Callithrix jacchus: one gene and its partner. The protein of the gene in region 2 interacts with the protein of the main gene of each other region in a pairwise test. Links are inferred from orthologs where the notes say so. Each region holds a gene or a part of one and is shown on either strand. Other genes may lie near its edges.

The links. The genes of interacting proteins can lie anywhere in the genome.
Region 1: the proteins of PAK1 (region 2) and RHOJ interact in binary tests that used the Homo sapiens proteins (3 or more experiments, as listed by UniProt). The link is inferred for Callithrix jacchus from reciprocal best matches to the Homo sapiens genes PAK1 and RHOJ.

The regions. Positions count from the first base shown.
Region 1 is NC_133509.1:97,899,074-97,903,260, reverse strand, and holds the start of RHOJ (rho-related GTP-binding protein RhoJ), read right to left. Parts: upstream 2,811-4,187; 5' UTR 2,342-2,810; coding exon 2,164-2,341; intron 1-2,163.
Region 2 is NC_133511.1:63,525,044-63,529,270, reverse strand, and holds the start of PAK1 (serine/threonine-protein kinase PAK 1), read right to left. Parts: upstream 2,804-4,227; 5' UTR 2,596-2,803; intron 1-2,595. UniProt on the Homo sapiens protein: Protein kinase involved in intracellular signaling pathways downstream of integrins and receptor-type kinases that plays an important role in cytoskeleton dynamics, in cell adhesion, migration, proliferation, apoptosis, mitosis, and in vesicle-mediated transport processes.

The sequences.
Region 1 (4,187 bases), on a different chromosome or scaffold from region 2:
ACAATTGATTGTAGGTTCTCATGTGATTGCATAAGGATTTATGTTCACCCAGATCATAGATCAGGAGAGTGGTGGAAAAGGAAATCAAGTTTGTGCGATGGAGAAGATCCCTCTGCTTATAGAAATGATCACTTCATTACAGTCCTAGACGTGTGTGGCTCATGTCTCCATTCCCTTTTAAACCTTACTGAAAGCACACGAGATGATTATACACTTAAAGAGGTACAAAGTGTACATCAAAGGAACCATGTTCAGGAATGCTTACTATGTGCAAAGTATTGCTCTTTGGTGTAGTGGTTGTGATTTCTTGGGAGCTAAAATAATAGACTAGCCAAAATCTTTAAGATGCTTTAATGCTCAATAATAGTATGTATATAATTAAGATATAAAATAATTTGAGCATAGTGGAATCTAGCTATGGTTCAGCCTTTGTTTGATTTCTAGTGTGTGTGTGTGTGTGTGTGTGTGTGTGTTTAATAGGCTGACTTGATTCTCTTTCTTCCTGATACAACATGGTAATTGGCTCCCTACATGTATGGGGATTTGGATACATAATTTTCATAAGCATTTGAAGCCTCTTCCTTTAGTAGATTTTGAATTCCACCCTTGATTTTAAAGTTTTTGAAATAAGGTAGCCACTTTCCCTTTCTTGGCAGAAAGAAGATGTAGAATAAATAACTTTTGCTAAGATGCTTTCAGGACATGAATCTGAGTAACTCTCTTAAGGCGCAGACCCTCAAATTTTATAATTAGTCTTTTTCTCAAGATGAAAGTCAACCTGTTCTTCTCTTTATTCTGTTCTCATTAAAATGTTCTTCTCTGGGCAGTGATTATATTTTCAGAAAGGCTTAAGTGAGCCAGCATTAAAATTTGCTCTAAATTTTTACAAATACAAAGAAACCTGCTGAGAATTGGATACTGTATTCACTGTGGTTCTCTCTCTGTCTGCTGGGTAATATTTTCTCCTACACTTGCTGGGTAAGTGTAGGAGAAAGCAGTGATTTAGGTGATGACTTTGTTCTGGAAAAGAAGCTACTTTCTACAGAATGAGGATTTCAAATGGCCGCATTGCCAAGCAGACACTCATGCTGGTTTCCTGTGGGCCATTTTCCTTTTGCCGAACCTGACCCAAAGCCAAAGGGAAGGAGGAGAAATTTTCCTTCCACAAAGTCTCAGATCTCTGATAAAGATCACGATAATATAAATAAGTTATAAAATTCAGGCTACTATAAGCTTGAGGAATTTCATTAACTTGCATTTGATAGACTTAATATAATTTGGTTTGGAAATTAAGGGAAAAAGTAAGAATCAAAATGGAAAAATTTAGGGAACGCTATCACCCACTTCAATTAAGATATTGTAGTCACAACCTAATTCTTTCAGAGGACCTTTAATGTTTTGAACTTTAGAACATTCAAAACATTAAAGGTCCTCTGAAAGAATTAGGTTGTGACTACAATATCTTAATTGTCATGCTTTAAAATATTGTATGTGCATTTTATCCTTCAGGACATACTTTAAAATGATTCAGATTTTATTTGTGTTTTTAATTTTAAAAACATGTTAATGAAACATTTTTCTTTTAAGATACAGATTACCTAATAGATATTTAAAACCTTTTAAAAACTTTCCCCCAATCTACAACCCCAGGAAAATAAAACTATAGTATTACAGCACCAATTGTTATAGAAAAATGAGTGTTTTATTAATCTTAACATTTCATTTATAATGGCATGGAGTGAATATAAGAGTGGCAAGAACATTCCTTTCACTGTGTATCTAGTGGTGATTCTTTTTTTTGGCAGAAAAGAATTGTGATGGAATTACACTGCATTTAAAAATGTTCACAAGAAAAAGTTAATGAATCTTGAGGCAAATGTGGAGTAAAATCTCTGGCCCCCAAATCTAGAGGGCACGTCAGAGTATTTTCCTGGCATTACCCTTTTGCTTTAAGGGGGAAAAAGTGTTACCCTACAAATTGATGCACAAATTGTTCTACCAACAATTTCAGCCAAGTCCTTGGTTGTATGCTACGCTAAGCTCCCTGGTTACTGCCAGGCCCGCACCCAATACTGACATTAGAAATGAGCCAGGACCCTCTGAAGTTAAGGTATCACCCCCCGCATCATTGGTCTGGATGCACAGTTTCCCAGTTTTTCTTACCTGCGTAGTGGTCAAACACAGTGGGCACGTATTCCTCCGGGAAGGCGTCGTTGGCGTAGCTCATCAGCAAGCAGGTTTTCCCCACGGCACCGTCCCCCACCACCACACACTTCAACATCTTCTTCTCCTCGTTGCCCCTGCAGCCGCAGCTGCTGTCAGTTCCCTCTTTGCAGTTCATTCTTGCGGCTCCAGCTGCTAGGGACTCCTGCTGCTGCTCCCGCTTCTCCCAAAGCACATGAAACGGCGGAAAGCCAGTGCCAGGCTTGAGTTTACTCTGACTGACTTTGGGAACCTTGGCTCATACAGACATGTCCGAGGCTGGGATATACCCTGTTGCTTACCATGCTGGTAAGGAAAGGTAACTCACACTTGGAGGAGTTGTGAAAAGGATCTGCCCCTTTCCGCTATCAGTGTGAGTTAAGAAACCTTCAATTTCACAGAATTCGGGGGGCTTCTTAACAGCCTAAAAATTTCAGCAGCCTGAGAGTTTTGCTCTGTTCTTCCTATCTCCAGTCTGGCAAAAGACACAGTGAAATTTTGCTAAATCGTCCTCATTTTCCAAGTCACATCTAACATGGAGGAAAGCTGGGCTTTTTAATGGAGTTTTTTCCCCTTGCTTCCTCCAGCTTGCCGAGTGTCAGGAAATCATGGGTTTCCTGCTGCATTCCATATTAGGATCAGTGGGCTGAGGAAGGCTGCAACAATGGGAGCTCTGTGTGTGTGTGTTTGTACTTCTGGGGAACGATGCCAGGACATGGAGTGGGAAAACACTAGGGGTCCCACTGCAGACTCAAGCTGTCAGACTTCCTGTTTCATCCGCTGCTTGTGAGGCTGTGTGCTCCTGGCTGGCTGGGAAGAAACTGACTAGAAGATGGAAACCGGGGATGACTGCCTGCCACAGAAACAGGGGGAATGGTTAGAGTGAGCAGAGAGAACCACACCAGTGGTCCTAGGATAACACATGACATCACCCCTCACTGAGTCACCAGTTGAAAGCTCTGCAAACTAAAAACGAGCAGTTCTTTACTGACTTAAATGAGAAACTTTAAGTGACTTTCCCAGAAATAAAGAAGAAAACCTTCTAGAGTCATCTCATTTCAAAGGGAAAAATTTTTGTAGGTTGTAGGTATAATATGATCAGGTTTATAAACTGCCACATGTCTGGAATATGTATTCCACACACAAACTTTTTTTTTTTTATGATCATAGCACATGAGAAATCAATCAGATGTGGGACATTTGCATATTCTTATTAGTGGATAAACACATGTGTGCTTGACTCATATGTAACACCCTTGGACACAGCAGATACAGGATGGCTTTTTGGTTGGTTTAAGGCCCTCGATGCTGTTTTTGCTTGGACATTTTGCTTTTTGATTTAGTGTCCCCTTGGGTCAGACTGGTCCTCTTCAATTACAAAGGAGCCATGGGCAGCTAATTTATTTGACTGTTTGGTCACTCAAAATGAAGCCTCTTTGACACTCTGTATTTGATTAATGTGCTTGGTCTGAGAAAAGAGTGGAACTCTGCAAGTGATTTTTGACAAATGGGTCAAAATGAGGAAATTTGTTTTTTTTTTCTTTCATTTTTTGAACATTGATTTTGAAGAATTCACATTATCCAATTGTTTGAGAAGTTTTTTTTTTTCCTTTTATTGGGTGAGGGGTGAGATGGGAGAAAAGTCTGTTTTACTAAGTGGCTATTAATAATAGATATACCCACATATCATTTATATGCTGCCATATAAATATATATGGTATAGTATATAGTATAGTCTCACGTTTCTACTGTTTTAAATTATAGTAACATTTATCATAGTGCTTAGTGTCCAAGCCTTTCTTTCCTATAAAGGGATGGCATTTCAGACAGGTTATGATGTATCAGTCAGGTTATATTGCAGTAACAATCTCCAAAGCTAAATGAATTAAAATAATATATATATTTCTTGCTCACATTGTATCTTTATTGTATATTGTTATCATCTTTATTCAGGGATCTAGGCTGATAGAGCAGTCATATTGAGA
Region 2 (4,227 bases):
TCCCAACTACTTGAGAGGTTAAGGTAGGAGAACTGCTGGAACCTGGGAGGTTGAAGTTGCAGGAGGCTATGATTGTGCCATAGCACTCCAGCCTGGGCAACAGAGCAAGACCCTGTCTGAAAAAAAAGAAAGAAAAAGATAGGCAATAATAGATGATGGCAAGGATGGAGAGAAAGAAGAACCCTCATATGCTGTCAGTGAAAATGTGAATTAGTAGAGCCACTAAGGAGAATAGTATGGAAGTTCCTAAAAAACTAAAAATAGAACTACCATATGATTCAGCAATTCCACTATTGGGTATATATCTAAAAGAAAGGAAATCAATATATGAAGGAGATAACGCACTCCCATGAATACTGTGGCACTATTCATAAAAGCTAAAATGAAAATGTGTGTGTGTGTGTGTGTGTTACACATGTAACACAATGGAATATTATTCAGTCATAAAAAAAGAATGAAATCCTGTCATTTTCAGCAACATAGATGACATTGGAGGCCATTTTGTCAGGTACAGGAAGACAAATATCACATGTTCTCACTCATATATGGAAGGTAAAAAAGTGTATCTCATGATGATAGAGTAGACTGGTGGTTACCAAAGGCCAGGAAAGGGAGTGGTGAGGATGAAGAAGGAGAAAAGGATATAAATGTCCTTATTAAAATGGAACTGTACACTTAAACATGATAAACATGGTAAATGCTTTCACATTTTTTAACTAAAAAAAATTTGCTGAGTAGAAATCAGTCCAAAAAGCCGGTCAGCAAAGGGGAAGATAATTAACCTACATAGTCCTCTTCCCCACACTATAATCTTTCTCTTTCTACATATACCCTGACCCCAAATAACCCCTATCTTGTCCAGGCTACCGTCTTTTTCAAAGAGCACTGTCTTCTCCCCCAGGCCTCCTCCTCCTCCTCCTGTCCCTCTATCCTGCTATCCTCCCTCTTCTTCCCTGGGCTACCTCCTTTTCTCCAGATCAGCACTACCTCACAGCTGCCAGAGTCTCTGGTCCTCCCAGTCATTCATCTCACTAAAGGGAACTTGAACCTCTGCCCAACACTACTTGACATTTTTGCTCTCCTCCCACTCAAGCCCCCCACTTCCCATCTTGCTTATTACCTACTGCCTACCTGCTGCCCCACCACCACCAGAAAAGAAGACAGGAAACAAATGCAGGAAGAAGAATTGCTTGTTGGCAGGCCCAAGGCAAAGCATAGAGGCAGTAAGGAGAGAGAATGGTATTTGGGGAAGATAGAATTTGGAGGTAAAAGCTAGAAGCAAGTGAGTTAGGTAGAAAACAATGTTTGGACCTCACAAACACAGCAGAAGGTCCCTAAAAACCAGTAACCTACTAACAATGAGAAAGCTTAACCAAAAATTTTAAGAAAAGAGAAGAAAGCCTAATCGAGAGGAGGAGGATCCGAGAGAAGGAAGGAAAGACTGGCTACAGAGGGGGAGAAATAGGAAAGGGGAAGCACGAGGGGAGGAGGAAGGGTGAAGAGAGGGTGGGAGAAAAGGTAGGCAGGAGGCAGGGCTAAGACAGGAAAAATCAGGAGGAGAAAATAGAAGAGTGAGGAGAGGAAGAAGACGTAGAGTCATCAAAAAACTGGGGGAAGGAAAGAGTTCCAAAATAATTAAAGTAGGTTATTATCAGGCCTGACATGAACTTCTTGGTGCCAGATAATAAAGAAGGAAGGAATTATAGTGATTAAGATATTACCACAGCCAGGTCTGTCATTAACTTAGCAGAATAAGGAAGGAGCTCCAGAGAAGAGAGTCTAGTTTAAAGCAACTTTATACCTAAAGACAGAAAAATTGGCCAGTTTAGAACCATTAACATACCTTGACCTTCTACTTCCCAACCCTGCCTCCCTACACCTAACACACCTACACACCACACTAAAATAAGCATTAGCATTCTCAAGCCTCTGCCTTGCCTCTGAAGAACCAGCAAGAGGCCATTCAAAAGGCTGGCTGGAAAACAGTATGGTCTATTTCCCAAGTTCTCCTCTCTTCTGCAGTGTTGAGGGGAACATCTCTGCAGCCCATTTTAGCATTTTAAACCAGCTCACCTTTCCAAAAGATGGTCTGAAGGCTTGGAAAGCCAGAGTAACAAACAATGTCAAGTCCTTCACTGCACAGATAAGGCAACTGAAGATGTCTGAATAGGACCAGTCCTCCCAGGTCTCCTGTCTCCCAGTTCACTCAACCTCTTAACAGAGAAAAGCCCCACAGTCCCAACAGGCCAGCTGCCAAGCCAAGATAGAGGAAAACATCACCTTGGCCACCAAGCAGAAGGGGGCTTGCAAAGAAGCAGAGTTCCTGAGGCAGAGCAGTTCCCCAAAGGCGCAGCTTCCCCTTTACCCACTTCCCTGAGCAGAGCTCCGATTCCAGTGCAGGCCTAGTTCTGGGTGGGCTCATCTAAAGGTTCCATACCCTCAGCCCCTTCTCTCATTTAGGGTCCCTTAAGGTAAGAGGAAAGTAAGATACCCCTCAAAATCTACTGAACCCCGTGTCACCACTCTCTGAAGGCCTGCGGAGATTCCTCCAGAACCCGGCCCATCTAGGCAAGCCCCACGCAGGGCCAGCATTACCTGGTGGGGAAGGCTGGCCCCGGCATCTCTGGCGATTGTTTCTGTCGCAGAGCTGCACCTCTCCCTGCCCAGCCGGGTTCCCGCAAGGCCCCGTCTCCAAGGGCTCCGCTCAATTCGGCTGGGCTGGGCTGCTCTGGGCTCCTGGCAGCTCAGCCGCCAGCTCCCGAGGTGCAGCACGCTCGCGCCCTCGCAGGGCGGCAGCGAAGGCGCTGCGTCGGGGTTGGTGAAACAGAAGGGGCGGGGGAAGAAAGGAGGGAAGGAGGCGGGAGGAAGCCGCGCGCGCTTCTCCTCTTCTGCAAAGCAGCGCTAAGGGCGGGGAGAGGGCTATCTTCCCACACCCAGTCTCCAGCAAGAGGTAATTTCTCTCCAAGGCCAGGTTTTTCAGTGCTTGTCAGAGTCCTGCGTGAGCTCCAGAGTCAAGGAATGCAACCAGTGCTCCTCTGTGCTTTAGTTTCTACAGCTGAGTATAGAGGAGTCTCTTCTAGGATTCCTCAGGTTAGACCTAGGATTCAGATTAGGCCTCAGAGAAAGAGATACACTTCCTCCCTCCCCCAACGTGCCAGGTTCTAATTCTAATGCTCCAGGAAGAGCTAGGTGGGCCCTTGTAGCTGCTTCTAAGCAATGAAAGCTTAGCAGCTACTACCTCATCATCATCATCATCATCATCATCATCATTATTTTGAGACAGTCTTGCTGTGTACCCAGGCTCCAGTGCAGTGGCTGGATCTTGGCTTACTGCAGCCTCGAACTCCCTGGGCTCAGATGATCCTCCTGCCTCAGCCTCCCAAGTAGCTGGGACTATAGGTGCCCACCACCACACCTGGTTATTTTTGTATTTTTTTTGTACAGATAGGGTCTGTCATGTTGCCCAGGCTGGTCTCAAACTCCTGTTCTCAAGCAATCCTCCTGTCTCGCCCTCCCAAACTATGGACTACAGGCGTGAGCCACCACATCTGGCCACTGCTATCATTTATTAAGAACTATTGTGTACCAGGTACTTTATAAATTCTATGTCTCTCTCAAAACAACCTTATGAGGTAGGCACTATACCAATTCATATATGTCAAAACAGAGGTCCAGGGAAAATGTGGGCTCATACAATAAGTATTTTTTAACCAACTATTGTGTTTTTGTGTATCAGGCGTTGTGAAGGAACCTGAGCTGAACAACACAGTATAGAAACCAACATGGTCCAGACTAGTAGTGCCTCTAGTAGTGCCGCCCAATTACTGAAACAATAAAACACACCTTCACGCATTTGCAAATGCTCCCTAGGAGGCAGTATTACCCCACTTCTCCCCCTCCCAAACCCTGCTCTTAAGAGACCTGACAGAAGTCAGATTATGTGGTGTCTCTTTCGGGTCATAACTAGGAGTTAGGCTTTTGTCACAAGTTTTAGCTGTGGGAAGGCTCTGGTAGGTTTGAAAGCAGAATGACAAACTCTAACTTACATATTTTAAAAGATCACTGGCTGTTTAGTGGAGAAAGGGGTAGGAGTGGAAATAAGAAAACAAGTTAATGTTCTCTCAGAGATTCAGATAACAGAAAATGGTAATGATTTAGACTAACACATTGTAAGATAACATAAAAAGAAGCAAGCATATTTTCTAAAGACACTTAGAAAAAGCAACA